Linked DNA regions of Neurospora crassa OR74A. The protein of the gene in region 3 purifies or fractionates together with the protein of the main gene of each other region. This does not show direct contact. Links are inferred from orthologs where the notes say so. Each region holds a gene or a part of one and is shown on either strand. Other genes may lie near its edges.

Evidence for each region. Proteins that work in one complex are often made in the same cells at the same time.
Region 1: the proteins of NCU03047 (region 3) and NCU11012 purify together in Saccharomyces cerevisiae (affinity purification with mass spectrometry; 3 studies listed by BioGRID, with this or other methods). This does not show direct contact. The link is inferred for Neurospora crassa OR74A from reciprocal best matches to the Saccharomyces cerevisiae genes TFG2 and RPO26.
Region 2: the proteins of NCU03047 (region 3) and NCU02661 purify together in Saccharomyces cerevisiae (affinity purification with mass spectrometry; 4 studies listed by BioGRID, with this or other methods). This does not show direct contact. The link is inferred for Neurospora crassa OR74A from reciprocal best matches to the Saccharomyces cerevisiae genes TFG2 and RPB7.

The regions. Positions count from the first base shown.
Region 1 is NC_026503.1:2,363,937-2,371,437, forward strand, and holds NCU11012 (DNA-directed RNA polymerase I), read left to right. Parts: upstream 1-3,233; 5' UTR 3,234-3,536; coding exon 3,537-3,580; intron 3,581-3,684; coding exon 3,685-3,966; intron 3,967-4,039; coding exon 4,040-4,159; intron 4,160-4,214; coding exon 4,215-4,251; 3' UTR 4,252-4,782; downstream 4,783-7,501. Other genes in the region: NCU00037 (polyadenylation factor subunit 2), read left to right, coding at 1-440; NCU00038 (C2H2 transcription factor), read right to left, coding at 1,252-1,306, 1,432-2,795; NCU00039 (hypothetical protein), read right to left, coding at 4,822-6,113, 6,186-6,762. UniProt on the Saccharomyces cerevisiae protein: DNA-dependent RNA polymerases catalyze the transcription of DNA into RNA using the four ribonucleoside triphosphates as substrates.
Region 2 is NC_026501.1:3,097,604-3,105,765, forward strand, and holds NCU02661 (DNA-directed RNA polymerase II polypeptide), read left to right. Parts: upstream 1-3,298; 5' UTR 3,299-3,871; coding exon 3,872-4,120; intron 4,121-4,188; coding exon 4,189-4,269; intron 4,270-4,347; coding exon 4,348-4,517; intron 4,518-4,582; coding exon 4,583-4,598; 3' UTR 4,599-5,443; downstream 5,444-8,162. Other genes in the region: NCU02659 (hypothetical protein), read right to left, coding at 1-116, 343-391; NCU02660 (DUF962 domain-containing protein), read right to left, coding at 1,617-2,072, 2,144-2,227, 2,376-2,408. UniProt on the Saccharomyces cerevisiae protein: DNA-dependent RNA polymerase catalyzes the transcription of DNA into RNA using the four ribonucleoside triphosphates as substrates. Component of RNA polymerase II which synthesizes mRNA precursors and many functional non-coding RNAs.
Region 3 is NC_026501.1:8,297,431-8,305,131, forward strand, and holds NCU03047 (hypothetical protein), read left to right. Parts: upstream 1-3,355; 5' UTR 3,356-3,488; coding exon 3,489-3,716; intron 3,717-3,784; coding exon 3,785-4,049; intron 4,050-4,107; coding exon 4,108-4,292; intron 4,293-4,348; coding exon 4,349-4,708; 3' UTR 4,709-5,063; downstream 5,064-7,701. Other genes in the region: NCU03048 (CCCH zinc finger protein), read right to left, coding at 852-1,390, 1,491-1,546, 1,598-1,706, 1,764-2,385; NCU11240 (hypothetical protein), read left to right, coding at 5,300-6,208; NCU16461 (hypothetical protein), read left to right, coding at 6,791-7,303. UniProt on the Saccharomyces cerevisiae protein: TFIIF is a general transcription initiation factor that binds to RNA polymerase II.

The DNA.
Region 1 (7,501 bases), on a different chromosome or scaffold from region 3:
GTGCCACCGGTGTCCCGCCTCCTCTCCCCTTCCCTATCCCCGGCATGCCCGGTCTGCCTGCCGGTGTCGTCCCGCCGCCCCTTCCGGGTTTAGATCTGAAGAACCCGCCCGACTTTAGCGCGCTCGCTGAAATGATGAAGAAGGCCGGTTATCAACCGCCGCCGCCGCCAGGCTCGGCTGGCGCACCGATGCCCCCTCCCGGCATCCTGCCCCCTGGCCTAATCCCCCCGCCGGGCGCGGCGGGCTTCCCTATGCCCCCTCCTGGGTTTGCGCCTCCGCCGCTGATTCCTGGTGCTGGTGGTCCGCCGGGAGGAGCCACTCACCCCGATGGTGGGAATGATCAGTATGATTCGTCAGGGAGGAGACGCGCGCCGTTGCCTAGTCAGGAGGAGAGTCTTAGGATGGAGCAGAGCAAGGGCAATTATACGCGCGTGAGATAGGATAGAGATTGTGGAGGAGACAAATTTTGCTTTTGATATATTTGCTTTTGTTAGCCATGCTGCACAAAGTCAATGGGGGTGGTGCTTGATCACATAATGCTGAGAACTTTTCTTCCGGGCAGTGTATGTGTCGGGAAATCAAGTGTGGCGGTAGTCCTGGAATGACACATGAAGAAGGAAATCATAGGGTGAGAGAAACATCCAAAGGGACAAGAAAAGAATATTACGATAAGACTACTATATGTTCGTGAATGATAGCGAACAAGGGAGTCTTGCTGAGAGCACGGTGAGTTAACCACAACCGGTATTATATGTCTACTCCGTCCAAACGCCGTAACCGTACAAGTAAGCCATCTCCATTCCTCCACGCGGTCTACATACTGTCAAAGCCACATAACAAAAGGGTATCAATATTTCCGTGAACCTTCCCATCTTTTTTCCGTTTTGTTTTCAGCAATGCAACATCATACAGTCGACAATTCCCCCATTGTGAACCATGAACCCGTATTACTGCATCATCTATGCTCTAGCAAACTGCGGGTCCGAACCCTCACCATCTTGGCCCATCAACAGCTGCATGTCGGCAGCCCAGTCTTCAAAGACAGGCGACTGGTGTTGCAGTGAGAACGGATCTCCATGATCACTAAGCCAGAAAGGCGCAGCGCCGAGATTTCCGCCATCGCTAACTGGAGCATTCGTGAATTGCTCCATTTGAGGGGGAGGGGTAGCGCCAGCTGAGGTGAATGCGGAGTGGACATCTCCTTGCTGATGCTGGGGTTCTAGACTAGGATCGATGACATATCCTAAGTCGTCAACGCTCAAGTTGGCAGCACTCGGAAATGGTACCATAGCTGCCTGTTCCTCGCCTGTATGCAATTGAGGTAGGAGCAGCAACTGTTGCTCCTCTTCTTTGATACCATTGTTGCCATGGTCATTTTGGATATGTCTATCCAGATCAGCATGACGGATGAAGCGAGCGGTGCATCCGTACGCAGGGCAAGCAAGGTCACGAGTGTCCAGCAAAGCCTGTTGAGCTTGCTGAGCCTGGGCGACCATGGAAGGGACGGGATACAGCTTGGGTGGACGCTTCTTCCCAAGATGAACATGAAGAACATGCTCCTCCAGCTTGACCCTGGTGGTAAATCCCTGGCCACAACCCTCTTCCGCGAAGTTCCAGTCCGCAATCTCCGAAACCTTGGCATCGTAAGTATCGGTCTGTCCGCAGACGAAACGATGGCCTTCATGGGCAGACTTGATGTGCGTGTTGAGATTGGAGACACGCGTGAACTTTTTGTCACAGCCCTCCCACGTGCAAGCAATCGTCTTTCGATCTTCGACTGTCTTGGCTGAGTGGTAGAGCTCAACGTGACGCATCATGTTGCTTTGTGTACCGCATCTGACACCGCAGAAGGCGCAGTTGTTGTGCTCCTTCTTCATATGGGCTTGAAGCAGCAGCATCGTGGTAAATCCAACACGGCGACCTCCACTGTCATCACCCTCTCCTTCAGCGTTGCATTCGTCGCACCAAAACTTCAGGTCACCGTGCTCGCGCTCTACGTGCCTTCGCAAGGCACTTGCAGTGTCGAAGCCGGCGTCACACCCGTCGTTACCGCATGGATATGCCGACTTGCCTAGATGAACGGTTCGGATGTGTCTCTGGAGCGTTTGGTGCTTGCGGAAGCTCTGGACACAGTCCCCATAGCCGCGGCAGCGGTAGCGATCGGCGCCCTCGTGAACCAGAGCATGGCGGCGAAGTCGTGTATTAGTGACAAAGGACTTTCCGCAACCGGGCTCGGGGCATGTGTACTTTCGATCGTTGGTATGAGATCCCTTGATGTGCTGGGAGAGGTGCTTCTCTTCGAGGTAGTCTTTGTCGCAGTCATCGTAGGGGCACTTGAACGGGCGATCGTTTGTGTGAGATCGGAGGTGGGCAGCCAGACGAGCAGGGCGGTTGAAGGTCTTGGTGCAACCGGCGAATGTGCACCTGATGGTCTTGAGATCGGAGGGGAAGCGGCGTGAAGCACGAGTCGTGGTAGTGTTGATACTAGTTGCTGCTACCGTAGTCGTCGGATCGGCGTGGGTAAGGGAGGTGTTGGCAACCGAGGCAACAGAGGCCGAGTCAGGGTCGAGTTCGAGGCTGTCGTTGCCGTTGCCATCAGAAGCTGCCGCCTCTGCGCCAGCAGGTGGCGATCGCGATTGCGAGGGTAGGGCCGGTGCCTCGAGCTGCTCTACTTGTGAGAGTTCCTCCTCCTGCTGCTGCTGGACCCAATCAGTAGCTCTTTTCTTGGATTGGACTTGAGCATGGTCGGGGCCGTCATGGCCATCAAGGCGCTCGTCGTCCTGTTTCCGCTTCATTTTGAGGCCTGGAGTAGCAGCACTGGTCGCCGTGGCCTGCTACCCTGGACTTGGTTGGAGCTTCGACATTGGAGAGAGGGAGCTCCACGCTTTTTGGGAAATTCGCTTGGATGGATTTTTTTTTTGGAGGTTCACATTTGTGACGGAACCTTTGCATTGCACCTGCCGATTGGACTTTTCGTCCGGGGTGGGTGTCCCTGCCGCTTCAAAAAGTTTATCTGACGTTTTCCGGTTCCAGCACCGGCAGGCAATTTTACGAGCGAGTGAAATTCGGGGGACCTGGAGGAAGGGAACCCATGAAGAAGCTGATGGCCCATCCATTGGCCCCACCCCTGTGACCCACTTCTCTGGTGTCACGTGCATTGGGCATTCTTAGCCTATTTAAGTTAGCTAGGTGGGGGCTTCTCAGATCCCTCCCCTCTTCTACTCTTTAGACTACTTTGGACGAATGAGACATCATCACTTCTTACCCCCCATGTCTCTTTAAGGTTTTATGTCTTGGCACGGCTCAGCCTTGCATAAAGTAGCGGCCCCACTCGAATTTTCTGTCGTCCTTTTGTCAGCCCTTCGCCCTTCCCTCACCACCTTGCGCATCCACGGTCGGCCAAACACGTCCAGTCTTCCACATCCACGCGTTTTGGGCAATACCATTTTGTCCACATACCTACCTCTACTTGTGCAGCTGCAGCCCATATCTTATTATCCTTACCATCAATCAACTCCTAAACAAACCCACCAAAAATGTCCGACTACGGTGACCACGGTGACGATGATCGCGAGCCTATGTAGGTTTCCAACGCCACCTACCCACCTAGTCCTTGGCATCAACCTCTACACATGATACCGCAACTCATGCGTAACGCAAGAGATGCTAACACGTAGCCGCCAGCGACGAGCCCGCCTTCGATGAGGACCCGGATGAGTACTACGAGCCCGAACCCGAGCCCGCGGACGACGACGTAGCGGGCAGACCCGGCGACGAAGTCGACGAGGCCGAAAACGATAACAACATAGTCACTTCGGGTGACCCTAACGCGGCCGCCAACGCTGGCAAGGGCAACGAGAAATCCCACAAGGACAAGAAGATTCCCAACGACCAGCGTTCCACGACACCTTACATGACCAAGTACGAGAAAGCTCGTATCCTCGGCACACGTGCTCTGCAAATCAGGTGGGTTTCCTCATCGGTGGCGCTTGGACGACTGTAGGGACGGATTTGGGCTGACAAGGAACCACCTTTGTAGCATGAACGCGCCAGTGCTGGTTGATCTCGAGGGTGAGACGGATCCTCTTCAAATCGCCATCAAGGAGCTGCGCGAGAAGAAGATTCCTCTGATTGTCCGTCGTTACATGCCTGATGGATAGTAAGTTGTCCTTTTCCCGGCACCTAGCCGAATACCCGCTAACATCCCTACGTAGCTACGAGGACTGGACCTGCGAGGAGCTCCTGCAGTAAACGGAAACCTACAAGACCCGTCAGGGGTAATAGGGGCGACCCAGTCTTTGGTCAGAAAATACACAAAATTGCATTAGCGAGGGCGTTCAGGTTGAAGTTTTATACATCATATTTGATCATTTTGGGACGGTTGGACTCGATCCAAAGGGCAACAACAAGAGCACAATGTGCTCCTCGAGTTGAATAAAGGGCCCATTCAAAAATTCACGTGCGTCTGATCAGTCATTGTCCTGTACGTTCGTGCTATTGTTCAACAGGCCTGGGCATATGAGGTATCAAGAGCCTTGTTTACGCCGCACTTTTCATGCTGATATCTGCTTAGATTTCCTGTCGCTATTTGATAGCGAATATTCAGATCAATTAGTATGTCAATTATACAGAAAAGGAATAGAGTATAACACTCATACAAAATTACCTACTTGAGAATCGAAGAACAGCGTTCGTGTCAAGCTTACCGCCATCCCTATCACCACGCATGTCCAGCAACATCCTTATGAACACCAGTTCTCCCAAGCTTCCCTTCCTTTCCTTCTGCGTCCCAGCACCACACACGGCTCAGCAGTCAGCACCTCACCAAGGCCCCGTCCCCCAAACCTTACACTTCGCTCCCGCATTCTTCCCCCAATTCGCCAACGTACAATCCGCATACTGCTCCTTACACTTCAGCACCGCCCCCGCGTACGAGGTCGAATCATCCTTGCCGTACTTTCCTTCCTTGCACCCCTTGGCGTACACATCCACACAATCATCGTACTGCTCCTGGCACGCATCCAGACAGGCTGTCGAGAACGACGAGCGAGCGTATGACTTGCACTTGCTCGAGTCCGAGTCCGTGTACAGCTTGAAGGGGTGACCGGACGAGAAAGAGGAGAGAAGGTCGTTGCAGGTTACTACGGGGAGAGGGATCCCGCCTACGGGGGGTTTGTTGCTTTTGGGGGGGTTGCAGAGGGAGGTGGATGTTGGGATTGGGCATTTGGTGCCGGTGGTGGTGGTGCTGGTTGTGAATGTGGCCGCTTTGGTGGACGTTGGAACGGAAGTAGATGTCGGCTTGCCAGTGCTAACAGGGAGACAAGGAACCGTAATCACCGTCGTTGTCGGAACACCAGGTCCGGTAAGGGAGGGCGACGAAGGCGGCTTGTGATTCCAGAAATCCTTCTTGGAGCAGATGCCCCCCGGTTTGCTTGATCCCTTGCAGTAGGTGCTCAGGGCCGAGCACCACTCGGCAAAACCGAAGCAGTCGAGCGCCCCCGGCCATCCGGCTTGCTTGAAACAGGCGGATACTTGGAGGAAGCAGTTGGCGTGGCTGGGGAAGCAGGATTGGGGGGAGTCCCAGTCCGGCAAAGGGGAGGAACACCATTTGCCGCACTTGTACTCGCAGGTGGGCGGGAGAGTGACTGTTTCTTTGCAGATGGAGGAGGAGGAGGTGGTGGTGGTGGTGGTGGACGTGGTTGTTAAGGTAGTGGTAGGGGGTGGCGAAGTGGTGGTGGCTAGGGTGGTGGCTAGGGTGGTGGAAGTGATGGAAGTGGTGGAAGTGGTGGTGGTTGAGCTGAGGACATAAGAAGTAGTAGTCGAAGAGGGTACGTCAGAAGTCGTCGCCGTCGAGCTGGTTATGTCGGAGGTAGATTGCGAAGAAGCAACTGGAGTTGTTGATGAGGATGCTGTGACGGAAGAGCTGCTACTACTTTCTGGGGGAGGCACGTAACCACAAGGTTCGAGTGACTGAAGCTCGTTGGCGACGTAGAGGTTGAGACGAGCACGTCCGCCGCAAATCTGCGTGGAGTTTCCGTTGCAAGGGATATCGCACTCGCTATCAGGGGCGGAGAAGGTTCCGTTGCCTATGACAACACCGCACCAACACTCGCCTAGGGGTGGGTTAGGAAGTCAGCATCCAGTGCTCTCATTCACACCACATCAAGTAACAAGTTGCTACTTACCGCCAAACTCAGTCCCGGCAAACGGATACCCCCCATCCCGACAAGCTTGCAAGCACTTCTCCGTCGTCAAGGTAGACCCTTCAAGCTGATCCTGGGGATAAGCCAACGCCCTTCCGTACTCGGAATCATCAGTCCAACATCCCAAATGGTCATAATCCGCAACCGTGACCTCATCAACCGGCAAGAAAGTGGGATCCTGGTAGACGGATATGATATCAGTGCCTCCACAGACCTGCGAGGAGTTGCCGGTGCAAGGGTAGTTGCATTGCTCCTCGTCAATCTGCTGGCCGCTGACGGTGTTGCCGCAGTAGCACACGCCGTAGTACTCTAGACCTGCGTAACGAAAGCCATTACCCTTGCAGACAGAGACGCATTTCTCGATGGTCATGTCCTGCTGGTTGAGCTGGCTGCGCAGGCTGAGGGCGTGAGGGTTGCCGGTGTCGGCGTAGCAGCCGGAGTAGATGAAAGGCTGGAAGGGGTCAAGGCAGGGAGGGAGTTCGATGGTTGTTGCACGGACACCAACGTGGACTAGGGCGATGGCTGCTAGCGCTGCAGCTCGAAGGGTGAGCGAAGCCATGGTGGTGACGATTTGAATACCGTGAGAATCCCTTGGGATGGTTGGAGTGCTGCCGGGGGAAGAAGTTCAGATGCTGAGCAGCAAGAAGCAGGTTGTCTTATATGAGAACCATGGCACTGAAGCGGTCATGGTGCGAAGAAGTCAATGCGGTATACATTCTACAAATTGCTCAGAAGCAGATGGTGTATTGAGCTCACTGACGTCCAGTCTGGAATAAACACAACGACGCCACATCACGCTGGACATCCGGTCACCGAAGCCTTTCGGACCCAAATATCGAAAGAACAGTGATATCCAATTTCTTGCTCTCGGCAAAACCCTACTACATACTTTTCCTGTCAAGGTACCTACCTGCAGCTTTAGTGGTATGGGGACTTGGATGATGGGCCATCAAACAATTGAGTACCCCATCACAATATATGAGGGTAGCAAGCTGAAGAGAAGAGTCGAAGGGACTGGTGCTCACTGAGTTTTCAACGTGTAGGAGGGAGACTTCAACGCCATGGCGTTGTAGTAAGACAATGGCTAAGTGACTAGGCTGAGGAAACAGGTCCGAGGTTGCTGGAAATGAAGCGTTGTTCCGATATATGTATAATGAAGTCCTCGTGTTGAACTCAGTGTAAGCCCATGGCGTAGGCCATCACACTGTCACCTCACAGGGGGGCGATGTTTAATTGTCGTGGATTCCGGCACGTAATCTCAATGTGTAAATTGTTCCCTTTTCTGCATTTGGGGCCCT
Region 2 (8,162 bases), about 5.2 Mb from region 3:
AGTGGAGATGAAGGCTTCGATTGTTGACATTATGTGCCGCTTGAGAGATTGGATGGCGGAGTCGGGCGAGAGGAGGTGCTGACGGGCGAGGGAGAGGTAGGGGTCTGGGAGGACGCCTATGATGAGAAGAAGAAGAAGAGGATGGTAGGTTAGCGGACGGGATGCATCACAGAAAGAGGGAGGAAGGTGACGGGTTTTATGATGAGGTAAAAGCAAAAGATGTCCACGTCAAAGTGTGAATCGCAACGTGGCGCTTTGGGCTCTTTTGCATTCTTTTTGGGCTGGCATGCTGGTGAAGACTGGGGAAGTTCGGGGAGTGCGACAGGTTGGCGCAAGACTTACCAGTAAGAAGCTGGAGAGCCCATTCGATGGGGAGGTTGAACGGATCCATAGTGTTTGACGATGATCTAGCCGTGGCCTGTAGAGATTGGTGGGTAGTCGCGCGAAGCAAGGAGGTCTTATATAAAATTCTGGTGAGGAAGCAAGCGAAGATGTGAAATGCGATTTGCGATTGCGGTATCTGTTGTGTTGTTTTGGAAGGGAAACGTGGTGGGGTAGTTGTGGTGCGAAGTGAAAAAGAACCAGTGGAGCGACGGCGATGTTAGCGATTCCGTGGAGGCGGGGGGGCTTTATCTTATCAACTGACCAGGCAACGGAGTGTGGGGGCTTGGGTCACCGTTTGGGTTGTTCTCACTGCACCCTCTTCTTGTCATCTCTCACCAGGCTGCCCGAGATGGCGGCAACAGCGTTTGAAGCCCAACTGACAATGAAGGCAACACTTCACTCCAGGTGGGGCTTGGATACTACGTGTACACCTCTAACGGGAGCATTGCAGTTGTGGGAGAACCTTTGAATCTAATTGTGGCCTTCCTCGCTCAGCTCTTCGAGGTGGCTTGTGACGGAATGTAATTCCGATGATTTTCCTTATTCGATCTAGGTTGTACGCTCTTTGGGGTGGACGGGAGGCACTTGGCAGTCCTCCCTCACATTGCATGAACCGCAGCCTGGCAAAGCAGTAATGATACAAAGCAGCCGCATTGGTCTCTTGGTTGAAAATCAATGACCACCATCTCTAGTGACCGTCTACCATGAGTACTTCGTCATAACTCCCGTTCATCTTCTGCTTCTCATGAATGACTTCGACGTGGGGGACTTTCTGCTCTAATTGACCTTAATTTGACGTGTTATAGGTCTCTAGAATCTCAATCGGTTAGACAGCCGATATCAGCTTGTCAAGTTCAGTGATCCTTCTGGCCATTTATTATTATTCTCTAATGTACAGTAAAAGTGAGTCCATAGACTATCAAAACTCCCGTTTGGGATCAGACGCTAACAACCTCAGCAGCGATTCCACATCTCAATCATTGAACCGCGTGTTTGACAAGCAAGTCTTGCGCTACAAGACCGTGATAAAGACGCGGGCCAGTTCAAATCCCGCTCAAACATCGTCCACGATATCATTAACCTCAGAGTCGAGTCACAGCTGCTCATGCCTGTCGTTGACATCGTTGCATGACATCTCTACCCCTGAACCCGCCCCTGACATAAATCCAACTCGTCACCTCGGGGTTCTCTCCTAATCTGGCAGCTGGACGGTAAAGGATGCCGAATTTCCCTTACTGCGCCTTCTTCGCGTTCCTGCTCTCCCGGAATTTGGCAATCTCGACCGCCACCGCCTTATCCACGCGCGTCTTGAGCTCCGGGCGGTAGCCCAGCATGAACAAGAGTTCAAGCCAGACAAACAGCGGAGCGAGGAAGATGGCTTGGAAGAGGTTGTCCAGGAGGGCAGGGGCACGGCCCTCAAATTTGCCGTGGCCGAGGAACTGCGCCAGCCAGCTCACAATGTGAACGACAATGGCAACCTTGGTGGTCAAGACTGGGTCGGCAATGCGAAGATAGTTGGTGAAGGCGCAAGCACCGAGGCAGATGAGCGCCAATGCGGTGCCGGCGACCGGCTCGAGGAGAACGTATAGTCCGCCCCATGTCAGAGCCGCAAAGGTGCCCAGGTTTGGCTCTAGGTACGGTACCTGAAGCCAGGAGGGGAGTGTGAAGAATGGTCCATAATTGGAGGCCTAGTTTGGAAGCATGAGGCGTGTGAGAACATGTCGCTAGGGACGAGGGAAAGTGGTTCAAGAATTCATACAATTTCAAAGGCTGAGAAGAGGATTAAAGGCACACAAATCATGTGGATGACTACATTAACGTGATTAGAGTGGTAAGCACCATACTGCAAGCAGGGAGAGGACAAGTTAGCAAAAGGCTCCAGTTCGTGAATTTCGAGCGAGGTGAAGTGGACGAAACAAGCAAGGGTGCCCGAGCAGGCCGACTTGGAGCATGTAGGTTAGAGCTTGGTAAACTCAGGCAACAAAGCTTACAAAGGTGAGTTGCTTTTCTAGGTTGAGGGACATGGTGAAAGTGATGCTTCGGATTTGCCCGGTATGATTAGGTTGGTGCTGTAGACAGCCTTGAGGTTCAGGGTGTGAATGGATGGCGAGATCTCGCTCAGTTCCGTGAGACCCGAGACAGGAGAGCGACAGTAGATGACAAGTCGAGTTGCGTCGAGGGCGACCAGTGAAGAGAGGAAATGAATCACTGCCACATGTGTATAAACGAGCAACAGGTGGAATTGGTAGTGTTCGAAAAGCAGAGCGTGCAGCTAATGAAGACCAGAGAGCGGCGGGATCTGGTGATGTGGGAGTCTGTCTGGTGTTCCACTCCGCATATCCATCTTCATATTCTCAGAGGGCTAAAAGCTACGTGTGGATGCCTCGGTTGTGGAGTCGCCATCAACAGGAACAAGGGAACCTGTTAAGGCTCCCGGCCGGCCCACCCCCGCAAACCCTCCAACTCGACGGCCACAGCGCTATCAAACGCATGCTGACAGGACCCGAACGTGCCCCGCCTCTGTCGGTGCTCCTACCGACGCGGTTACCTCTCGGTCAACGAACGTTAACGTCACAACCTAAAGTGGAAGGCCAACAGCTGTGGTGTAAGAAAGGTGATCAATCGTGAGTTACCCGTTTCAAGTCTTGTTTATGAGCGTTCTCATCTTTTGGCTTCTCGAACCACCATACTGTCTTTGCTGTGGCCATTCGAATCTTCCTTCTTAGACATCATTCGACAGTCTGTCTTTGTCACATGTTGAAACGGCATGAGCCATGGTACCTTTACTCGAGCTTACAGCTACATGAACGACTAAGGAACGCTGGGGGCTGGTAGAAGACACACTCCCTTAAGAAAAACCCGCTACATGATAGTACAGCAGATTATTTCACAAGCCTTACAACGAGCATCTTATGCCTGGTCTGGTTGAATGATATGATGGAATTGGGATATTTGGTGTTGAAGTTGTGGACAACACCGAATCCCGGCAGCGCCAAGACCGCTTCCGTGTGGTCAGTGCTGTTCCTTGCAGATTGTGCACGAGCCATGTGCTAAACGTCAAGGGACGAGTGACAGGCCAAGCTCGCAAGGCAAAGTCCCGAAACCGCGTCTGCGGCGGTCTCTGTGTTGGAGGCTACCACTTCCAGAACCTCCAAGCTTTTGTTCCATCATAGTCGATATCTAGTGTATTCCGTCAGCCTTGCTCTCCCGTCACGACGTCTCCCCACAAAACCAAGTATCACCTTCGACACGATCCCTACACCAACATTCTTGCTGTCGATTTTCGCATCTCGCCCTCACTGTCATTTTCGTCCCGACACGCGACTTCAATTGCCCAAGTCTCGACAGCACTGCCGCCGCCGTCGCACCCCTCGACACGACAGCCGCGCGAAGGCATCCCGAGGCGCATAACCTCTCCAGGGCATCGTCTTATCGACGCCCACTTTCAGCCGACGACACCCCGATCCCACAGTACTAACCCGCCACAATGTTTTTCCTCCATAACCTCGAGCGGCGGGTTACCCTGCATCCATCCTATTTCGGCAGGAACATGCACGAACTTGTCACGACCAAATTGGTCAAGGACGTGGAAGGGACGTGTGCCGGTGATTACTACATCATTGCCATCATGGATGCGTTCGACGTTAGCGAGGGCCGCATCCTCCCCGGAAACGGCCTGGCCGAGTTCACTGTGAAGTACCGTGCTGTGGTTTGGAGGCCGTTCAAAGGCGAAGTGGTTCGTTACAGCGAAGATTCTCGGTGGTGTTCTCTCCGTTCGGATGGTCTAACGAGGAGTCCCTACAGGTGGATGCTATTGTCTTTTCCATCAATCCTCACGGCTTCTTCTGCCAAGCTGGCCCGCTCTCCATCTTCGTTTCATCTCACGTACGATGACGCCTACGGTCTTTTTGGATACGCACATACGATGCCCTCGAACTTCGATCGCTGACAAGAGAACTATAGCTGATGCCCGAAGAAATCCACTTCGACCCCAACGCGACGCCTCCTCAGTTTACCAATAACGCTGATATGGTCATTGAGCCCGGTACGCACGTGCGCGTCAAGATTGGTGGCTTAAGAACGGAATTGGGTGAGATGTATGCCATTGGCAGCATCAACGGAGATTTCCTTGGGTGAGTTTCCACGTCTTAGCGGCGTGGTTGTGCTGTTTGTTATTAACCAGTTTCTTCCTTTCCAGGTGTCTGCAAGCATAAGGGACTTGCAAGATGCAAGAAGGTCATTCCCAAACGAAGGGTTTGGACTCGCTCAACTACTACGAGGTACTCGCTCAACAGAATCCTAGTGAAGCCACGAGTTAGAGTATACCCTGGGTTTACATCAACAGTTCTGGTCGGCTGATGAAGCCTCTGGCCCGGTCAAGAAGCAAGTCTTCTGGGCAATGCTGAAAGCCATCCGTATCGAGGGCCGTTTCAGGATCTCTGTGGCGGTTTATGAAGGATCATGTTTGCCCCTTAGCAGCGCGTGGGCGGCAATATGATCGAGCCCCTTGTTGTATTGCACGCGGGAGTGCGGCGGTAACACGCTCAAGGGCTTTCAAGGAGATGTCTCGTCCGAATGAGACTCAACGGGGTTGGTATTTTTGTCATGATTTGCTTGGGGTGCGTAAAACCTTTGTCTGTGGCGTTTTGAGGCATTATTGGGGCCACAAGCGGCGCCTGGAGTCTATTGACGGTTTTTTCTTTTTGAGGTATTTGCAGCATGCTTTCTGTGTTTGAGCGTGATTACTGGTATTTGGGTAACTGACATTATCGACGTATCTGCGACATGGAGGACATGTCGCTCTTAATACATGGGCACATGATGATGTCTTCAGAGTTTTGCGGGTACAATGCCTCAAGGTTCTCGGGTGCTTGGCTTAGACTGACCAACAAAAAACGACTGTCTGCGATACCACAGAGGGCATCTCGCGCGATTGTACTTAGAGGGAATAATCCTTGTTCAGCTAAGGTGCTCAGTTACCATGAGCAAAGACAGTATAAGAGACACCGCAGCACTCGCTTGGCTCATAAACTCGACTCCCCGGTCTATCTCCTGAACGTCTTGACTAGGAAGCATTCAGTCTCGGGCTATTATACCATGTGATGGTACCCAACGAGGTGGGATGTTGTGATGGCTCAGTTGCCGTGGGGGGAAACCTCCCATTTCAAGCTGACAACTTGGTGCGTGCCCATCTACGATCCTCCCGCAACATTTACAAGGACCTTGAAGCACCATATCTCAATGGTTCCATAATCTTCAACGAAGCGCGGGGGTTACGCAGCAGTGAAGACGTGGGGAAAAGAATAAAACGACAAGGGGGGAGGTTCATCCACTAAGTCGTCGAGTTGATACTATGCAGTAAACGTTTGGCCGGTGACCTGTCCATCGTGAGGCTACGATATCTCTTGACTTTGTGGAAGAATAGTATGGCCGAAATACGTCGGGCGAACTAGAGCAGAAGGGGGTAACAGTGGGGGCCAGATCGGTGTGAAGAAATCCCCAGAATGAAGTAAAGCGGAGGCGAGAAGTTGAATCGGGGTGTGGGCATCAAACACCAAAGAAAGAAGGCCAAAGTTGGAGGAGGATATCTGGACTTGTACCAAGTTGTCATCATATCCATTTGGGGTTGAATCTGCTACCTATGCCGCTGGAGGTTCAGCTATAATCCCATTCCACCGACGCGGAGAGGCTTCCGTGCCGCTCTATTTCATCTCATGTTCCCTCTATCATAGAGGTATCTTTAAACATTGCTGCACTTGCTATGATTGTAATACAATAGGAAAGCCATCGACGTTGTGCTACCATCTCTTTTTGTGTTGTTGAAAAACTTTGGAGGATTCCGTGCCGGCAATGTCTCTTTGGCGCCTTTTAAGCTGTCATTGCTGTCAGGACCCGAAAGGAGGCTGTAGATCATGCTGAGAGGTGGAAGGGAATTGAGAGTCGACTGCCGTGCTCAAGACAAACTTTTAGCACACAAAGTAGGTATGTTCGTCACTGATATTTTTTTTGACCAGTGGTCTAGGGGATCTTGAACACTGCCCGGTGTGATATTTGCATATATCTGGGCATGCACCTACACCCTATACCCTCAACTCCTTGTTTCGGTGTAATCACATCATCCAGGACAGTCAGTGGTACAGTGTCAGTACGTCTTACCCAGCCTAGATCCTGCGTCCCCAACGGGAATAGCCTCAAAACCCCGGCGTAGAGTAGCAATTCGCCATCGATTTCTCCGAGAGGATGGCGCTTTCCCACTCACCCTAGCACTCGCGATTTGCCGTGCTTTTCCATCTGCATTGCCATCGACGACTTGGTCTTCCCTTTCCCCCTCGAATACCCATGCGGGTGTGGGGGTTCGCATTACATGGAGGATAGAGGGTCGATAAAACCCCCATTTAGGCTGCGAAGAAGATGAAGGGCTGAAAACAGAAGAAAACGGGACACCACCTATAAATGGACAGTATATCACACTCGCCTGACCGCAAAGCGAGCTGGAGGGGACATGTATCGAGCAAACCCGCAGCAGCTTGTAAGGGGAGGCACAGCCATTGTCAATCCCGCCAACCAAGGCACGATGTCGTCAAACCCATTCCGATGGTCTTCGGCTTCCGGTTTCAGTTTCCATTTCATTTCTTTCGTTTCCGTTGCTTTTCAACCTCTTCACCCGGCTTCCGCTATTCCATAGAGGTACTGTTGGATTCTTCGTCCATGTAACTGTCTTACCGGTGTGGAGTTATTCCGGAGCCGAAATGGTATTTCAATCGACGTCGGTTTTTCCTGCCATTTATCTATTACCACCTGGATACTTCTTGGGATCGATCCGGGCTCGAACGTGCAAAGTTTTACGCTGGGGAGAGCATTGCGGCGCCGGCGATGTTTCCGGTCTACTGCATCAGTATCGATCGAATCAAATCGGAAACCTAGCACTCCTCATAGCCAGGGTCATGATCAGGGGTATCATCGATAAATCATAACCAGGGAAAGGGGAACATGACGACATAGAACAACAAGATGAAAAAGTAAAGGCAATCGCCGAGCAGAGAATCCTAGTTACCATATTAAGCTCAAGATCAAGCACAAGCTCAAGATCAAGAATAAAAGTCACGATCCTCGTGACAACTCCAAAAAATGTCGGGCATTTCGAGATCAAGAAGCAAAGATTAGCACAAGCACGTGGAAGTGATACATCAGATTCACTGTACGTGATGCCCGAGACTCTCTAGATCCTAAAACACAGCGGCATATACTACAGGATTGCACTGTTCGCCATGTAAGTCCTTGGGAGATCACTTACCTTTTATTGTACAAGATCCCCCGACTTGAGTGAGTTGAACGAACCGCCTTCGCGGTCACGGTCCGTCCAGACCGGAAAGGGGGGAACACTATCACACCGCATTCACTTCAACTCTCTCTGGAGTTCACACCAAGCACAAGCACAAAAGCACAAAGCTCTAAGGCAAGCCGGAGAAGCCAAATACTACGAACCAACCTCACTGAGCCTGCCGATCCGCCAACCAGGATCTCGGAATAGGCGGCATTGACAAGGATTCGATGTTGGGTTACTAGTACTCTCCCAAGTGCCGATACAGTGCGCTTATCACTGTCATATAGCCCTTACAATTCTATTCAACTATATCCCGACGTGATGCCCTCAACCTCGTCGAGGTGACTTGTCAGCCTGACTAGGAGCTGGTGGCTGGTGGCTGGTGGTGAGTGATCACTGACCGATTCTCGAGTACTGAGCACCAATATGATAGAAAGGTCAGAGTCAGGTGTCA
Region 3 (7,701 bases):
CCATCTGAGTGGTTGTAGTTGTGAATCCGAGAACGTAGTATATATATAAAACTGCTTTAGTTGCCTAAACCCCAGTGCTCCTTAGTCCCTTACTGACTATCCACAGGAGTGCGGGAGAGGAGGTGGGAGTTAGGTATAGAAAGATCATGAGACTAGTAGTATTATGGAATGTGGGACATCTGCAGGTGCTGATCTATATACGTGTACGGCATTAAGGGGTCATAAGAGGAGTGATTACATGGATTTTGGATAGTGTAAGCGGCGAGTTACTTCTAAACAGAAATCCGGATGCCCAAGAGAAGGGCATCCCGTCGCTAAACTCTCGTTAGGCAGCGGTGAATTCATACGAGTATAATTTAGCGGAGAGCATATGGGGTTAAGGTTGCGAATGCGGGGTGATTGATCTATGATACTCCGGGCCCGAGTGAAGAAGGAATGGCAGTGATGGTGTGGCTATTGAGCTCTCGGCAGACTAACTCTCAGCAGCCATTGGATGAACAGGATAACATTTTGCGGTACCTGCTTGGAGCTTGCCGCAGCACATCAAGGTCGACGTTCACCACAGGCCAATCATTGTAATCATGCACCAAGTGCGGTCATGCACTCCTATATCTATAATAAATTGCCTAGTCTTGGCTGTTCTTCAGAGTGACATCTTCTTTTCTCTCTTTTTTTTCCTTTTGCTTTTCTCTTCCTCCTTTTTTTACTTTTATTATCCTCCTATACCCACTGCCAACCCGGAAAGTGTAACGGGTTGCGCTACAGAAAACAGAAACATCAAAGGGTATCAATAAGCCAGCAAGGCTTAGGAAAAACCAAGGACCAAAACAAACGAGCCAGGACTGCACTAATCAAAACTTGATGAAGTCCTTTTGCTCGGCGAAATCCAAGTCAGGATCGTCGTCCTGGCCAACAAACTCGTCAACGTCGTCCGAGTCGATATCGTCGCTATCGACTGAATCGTCGTCGCTGGATAGATCCTCCATCTCCGCGTCGTCGCGGGCATTGACCCTGCGCAAGACGCTTGCCCTCTCCCGGTGCGGCAGTTTACAGCCCTTGGTATTACACACGCCAGTGTTGCTGAAGTCGGGACATTCGAAAACATGGCGGTTGATGCAGCTTGCACCCTTCTCGCAGTAGCCGTAGAGGCCAAATTCTCGGCAGACCGAGGCAGCTGGAGACACCTTTGCGTGAGTGAATTTGCAGTCAGGTTTGGTGCAACTGTCCTTAATGAAGTGCAAGCACGTGGGGGTGCGTTCCGCGGAGAGTTCGTGCGAAAGATCGCAAGAGTCACCGTTGATGCATTCTTCTTGTTGGAGAAAGTCCTTGCAAATGGCAACCTTGGCTGGGTCGTGGATATATCGGCACCGAGGGCCTTTGGTGCATGAACCTGCGGGGGATGTCAGTATAAACATCGTTTGGACTTACCAGACCCAGTCATTTCGACGTGGTGTCGGTTAAGGTTCCGAAATCTGAAAAGTTGGAGTTACCGGTCATGGAGAAATTGCGACAAGGCACGTTGACCTTCTTGAAAGCGCCGGATTGCCTATCGCAAACTAGAATTAGCGGATGATTCAAAAGGGACCGGGCCACATACCGCTGCGCTTTAACAATACCATGGCGGTACAAATTCCCGTTCTTGCTGCGGTAGAACTTGACACCGCCTACGATAGCCATTTTCGGGGTCGGCCCTGAGTTGAGATCGCCTGTGAAAGGGTGAGTATTCGGCACATCCAGCACTTCTGGCCGCGGTTTCGACGCACCGGGAATCTTGACAAGTTTGCTTCCGTTCTTCGTAACGGCAAAACGTATACCCTGCACGGTTAGTTCATATTGGTTTGGTGCCGCTGCCGACCGATCGCCAGCACGGTGTAGATGGTTGATCAACTTGGTTCGTTCCAGATCATCTCTCTGCTGTTGCTTCTGGCGCAGAGTTTGCTCAATGGCCCGAGTGCGAGCCTGCGCTTCCTTATGATAGATGGACGAATTGATGATTTGAAGGTGACGGTCGTTCTTTGCTACCCAGGACGACGGGGACGAGTCGAGCGCGGCGCCTGAACTGGGCGGACCTGCTTTACCTTGTTGAGACGCGCCGTTCAGCACCAAGGTCCTGTGACGGTGGGCAGGCTTGGTGTAATGGGCGCGGGTCGGGTATGGGTAGCCTCCTCTTTGATGACGCCAGCTTCCAGAATAACCTGAGTCTTCAAGACCGTCAATACCAGCACGGTTGCTGTTATGATACTCCACGGACGTACGGTGATGCGGTGGTGCGTGGCTGCTCTGCGGCGGAACAAGGCCTGCTTGTTGATTTTTGTGCTGGTTGATCTGACCGGCCACACGGGCAATCCTCTCCATCAGCTCGTGTTCCTCGGCAGACATTGTCATCTTGTTATCTTTTTGTTCGAATCCAAGAGCCAATACAAGTAGCTGTTGCTGCAATTTCAATATTAAAAGCGTATCGGTATATTGCGGTCACGTTCCACGATCAAGCAGTACCGGTCTTTGTCGGTTATTTAGATTGAAGAAAATATGATAAAGGTCGCGATGTTGCTGGTGCCGTTTGTTCGATGCGATAAGGTAACGTTGTTGTTGGGATGATTGTGGCGGCGCGCAAAACAGAGGATGATGGGTGCAAGAAGGATTTTGGTTCGGATGTTCAAGGACGGCGGCGAACTGCCAGTGATCTTTTGAGGGGGGATGCGCCAGAGGTCAGCCAATCACAAACGGCCAAGGTCGCTATCAGAGAAAGAAGGCCATGGAGTTAAGTAAGTAATGCGTCAACCAGTCAGGGCACGACCAACCAGGCAGGACCTGAACATTGGGAAGCTATGCTGTGCACATATGATAGTATGGACACTACCTACGTCGAGGAAAGCAGTTTATGCAAGATACCAAGCCTCAATGCCCCGTGGTGAGCTCACATTTCCTCCTAATCAGCTACCATCGGCTTGTTTCCAAAAAGACCCAAGGCACTCTTCATACCTTACTTCCACTTCTGTTCCTTTCTTTACGCCCAAAAAAATAACGCCGGATACAAACAAGAACGCTCCCGTAGACAGCCATACTGCAACCTATGAGACTCCAAGTTTGAACTGCCCTCAGAGAAATCCAAAACCACAGGCGCCTTCACCAGACTGAAGTCAACCTTTAACTGAAAGATGTATGCAGGATCCTAGGTACAGCTAAGTACTTGCCACCAGAGACCCCACTAGCCGCTCCGCTTGCGGGAGAGCGGGTCGCGCTAGGATCAGGTAGCGGCTTACATAATAGTATACAGGTACGTATCCAAGGTTCAACGGTCTTTGTCCTGACGTTGACGTTCGCGGCTGCTTTCAACCAGGCAACCTCTCTACAACAACAACGACCACGACAATCACGCCCCAACTTTCCGTCCACGCTACCACAAGACGCCGACAACCAGCGAACGAAAGGCCATTTTACGCACATATTAATATTTGCTAGTCTTGTCACAGCGACCAACTCCAATCATGGCCGATCCAATGAGAATTAAGCCTGACCCGGACGCAGCCTTCGCCGAAGACGAGCTTGACGAATCAGCCGACTTGGGATTCTATGATCCTAATGATTTTCCCTTGAAAAACGCTTATCTGGCTCGCCTTCCGGGGTATGTCTGGCAAGCATGGGCTTCGCTTCCCGATGATGCTGAGATTCAGATTGGCAAAGTTCGTCGAATTGTGCAAGATGGTCAACCGGAGGTCAGTAGCAGCACTCCCTGACGAGCACTACGTTTTCAATAGGTTACTGAGACTGTTTGGGCTTTCAGAAGCTACAAATTCTCCTCGACGATCTTCCACAACACTACGATATTCCCAAGGAATACAACCTCGACATGGTGGATGCCAACGTCAACAACACCTTCATCTTTGGTGAACATGATCACCCAAGTTATGCCGCCAAGAACAAGGAGCGGGCTGAGGCTCTAGCTCAGGGCATACCTGCACACCTTGTGCGCCAGCAGATGAAGCAGTCGGAGCCACCTCAGGAGCGCGGAAAGAAGGGACAGCAGTACACCAAGAAGGCCATCCCGAGTTCGTTACACCCAATCTCAACTGGCCTGCCTTGATAGGTGCTAACTTAAGAGTTCAGAACAAACGGCGATTGCAGCAACAATCAAGCGTGAGGTTGTCGCCACTCCTTTGGAAAATCCCGAGACAGACTATGCGCTTGCTGCCCGAGGCCAGAAGCAGACGGCTCCCAAACATACAGTACAGGTCCTGGATCGTCTGCCACCCAATGGTATCACGGATCCCAAGGGTTGGGAAACATTTCTGGTGCGTGTACTTGAAGACATATCACCACTAGAGCTTTCACTAATAGCAAACAATAGCGCACGACCGAGGCTCCGAGCAAGGCCAAGAAGATGGACAACAAGACAGCTCGCTGGCCAGAGAACCAGCTGCTCGACGAGCTCGCCAAATGCTTCTCCGTCTACATGTACTGGTCCATCAAGGCGCTGCGCTCTCGGATTCCTCAGCCCGAGGCGTTCATTCGAGAGTGCTTGGACAAGATTGCCGTTATTCACCGAACTGGTACTTTTGCAAACCACTGGTCTCTCAAACCGGAATACCAAAGTATGATTTCTGATAAGGACCTGCCGGCACCAACCAACGAAGCGGCTCCCAAACCCGAAATCGCATCTGAGGACGAGGACGACGACGATATCAAGATGGAGGACGTCCTGTTTTAAGATGACAGGACTGAGCGCTGTCATGATGGATGCGATCTTCCTTCTGACTCATTCACTTACTTTGCGTCAGGCGTTTAGAGTAGACTGGGTTTGCTGCGTTTTTCCTTTGCTCGCAAGACGAGCGGTCTTTCAAGACCATGCTCATACAATGATACCCGTTGCATCAATGAACAAGAGTCGGTTTTCCAGTTTGGGTTATTTGTTCCTTTAATTGCGTCAAAGCGTTGCAGTCGTTGGTTATGCAAAGGCTCTTACATTACAAGTGTTAGTCACAATGCGTGACGTTGGTACAACTCTTTGGGCGATCCTTTGGTCAACAACATTATCCATAAATGAAGTGGGGCCCTATGTCAATCATTCCCGATTCTTACTGGCCAAGAAATGCTATGGCTACTGGTGCTTTCCTTCTTGTCCTGGCTACAATTCACCTGGAGTTTCCATTACCTACTTACCTCCACCCACCTTCGGGATAGCACAACTTGAACCCTAAATAAAGCCACATTCATTCTGATCCGAGCCAACCTCCTTTCAAGTTCAATGCCTTTCTGGAAACCCGCTCATCAAAGCATAACCCGCAACCTTACCAAAAGAATGGCTCGCTTTATAGTCTTTGACTTCGACGGTACCGTTACCCAGCAAGACACTATCAACGTGCTCGCTCAATTTGCCATCTCGTCTCGCGGTTGCGCCTACTCTCAACAAAGTGCTTCCGAAAACTGGAAACGGATAGTCGACCTATACCTCGCCGACTACGCAAAGCATAAAGAGTTATACGTCCCCAAAGCCGAGTATAGAAAACTATTAGCGCAGGAGCTGGCGTACCTAGAGAGCTTGCAAACCGTTGAACTGTCTAGTGCGGAGAGAGTTGTTAATACAGGGTTCTTTGCCAGGTTGACAAGTGAGCAGTGGGAAGAGTTTGGGAGACAGGCTCGACGGATTGGCGAGGAATGGAATCCCGACTGGGACGGGGATGAAGGGAAAGCAGTGAGGGTGAGAAAGGGATTTTCGGAGTTTGTGCAACAAGCTAAGGCGAGGGGAGACAAATTGGGGCTAGTGAGCGTGAACTGGTCCAGGTCGTTCGTTGAAGGGGTGATAGAACCTGAAGATCCGGACCGGAGTGAGTTTGTTAAGAGGGTTAACGAGATTAAGTGGCCTGGCGGACAGCTGGAAGGACCGGAGGAAATGGGCGGGAAGGTGATGATGACTGCTAAGGATAAACTTGAGGGGTTTGAGACGATGCTGCTGGAAGAGGCAGCCGGGGAGAGCAAAAAGCGTAAAAGCGTGTACTTTGGCGACTCGGTGACGGATCTGGAGTGTTTGTTGAGAGCGGATACAGGGATCGTTGTGGTAAATGAGGGTGAGGAGGAGCAGAGCACGTTATTGGGGACCCTAAAGAGGCTGGGCTTTGAGGTGCCGCATGTGTCGGAGGGTCGGGAAGGCATAAAGTTGGCATGGGCAAGAGATTTCAAGGAGGTTTTAGGAAACAGTATTATGGGTTGACTTCAAGCTTGATAATTGGGTGTATATCTGTTGAATGCGATGAAAGCCACAGGTATTCATGCCCTCCCTTAGTCCATGGTTCTTAGACTACGGTACCAATGACAAGTCGGAACTTCTTTCATGTCTATCATCCAATGTATTTGAACCACAAAGCCAAGGAAAGTCAATGATAGGATTTGCCCATAGGATCTTGATGTTTGATCAAAAGCAGACCTTGGAACTTATTACATGTGTGTTTGTCTCTAATTTTCGTTGTCCTCATTTCTCTGACCAATCAATGGCACCACTAGTGTTGACAATACAAAGTCTTTGTCCGCAAACATGTCACAACTGATTTTCTGCTATGTTCAGAACATGATCTCAGATAACAATACTGTTGGTTTGCTTTTGTCTTGTGCTGAAACATTGAACCAGACTCTCATTCCATCAGCACGGAATGAATAACATTATAAGCAGCGATGTCCACCGCCAATACCATGTGTGCCAAACATCATCATGTTTCTGATACCAGTACTTATCCTTCACTACGTGCCATCCCTTTGTCCAAACTAATATCAGACAACAACACAACACCTACTAGATATGTGTATCCATCATCGTCTCATCTACCGCAAATGCGGCCACTTCACCTGGCTAGGCATAACAAAGAAGTGCCAGTCAGAACGCAACTTCGACCAAGGCAAGATCGACGAAGGCTGCAATGTCATGTGGACGCATCCGCTTTCAACATACCGAGTTGACAGGTGTTGCGAGAGTTGCGCCCTCGAAAGAGCAACAACGGATAGAGCTATTGATGAAATCAGAGGGAGGATCCAGTTGACTAGAGAGTTGCTAGCCAAGATCCAGGACCTACGGGAGGCTTCTTCTGGGGTTCAAGAGCGTGGCTGGAGTGATGGGGGGGTTGAGTCTGCTGCCTCAATGAACAGGGGAAGTATCGTGAAGGTGGGAGTTGTCGACGACTGTGGGGGTGACGGTGATGTCGAGGAGGCAGAAACCATGGATCTTATCGATCCTAATGAAGTGATCAAGGTGAGTCAAGCTCATTTCCGAAATATGATGGAGTTGGTGAGGGAGCATGCCTCTAGTTCGGAGTGAAGTCCTAAATGATCTTGGATGAGGTTCCCTTTACCATGGTTATTCCTGGTCCTCATAACGAGAGTGAGCCTGTAACAGACTGGTAGTAACAATTCGCGTAGAAAAACGAACAGTTTGTTGGCGGCATTAGCATCGGCCTTCAACCTCTCAAATCTCCAAATCCACCGAAAAAGCGATTGGAAAGGAAGCTAAAAGCGAAAATTCCAATTCGCAGCAGCTCCTTACAAATTCAACATGTCATCGTCAAAGACCACGGTCCCTTACGTGCTAGGTAAGCTTGAAATTACCCAGCCCAGCCTTTGAGTCCTGTCAAGGAGCTGCCACTAATAGCAGCCGTTAAGTAGTGATCAAGAGACACCGCGGCCACTCAGCCATGAAGACGAGCTCAGTCAATGTAG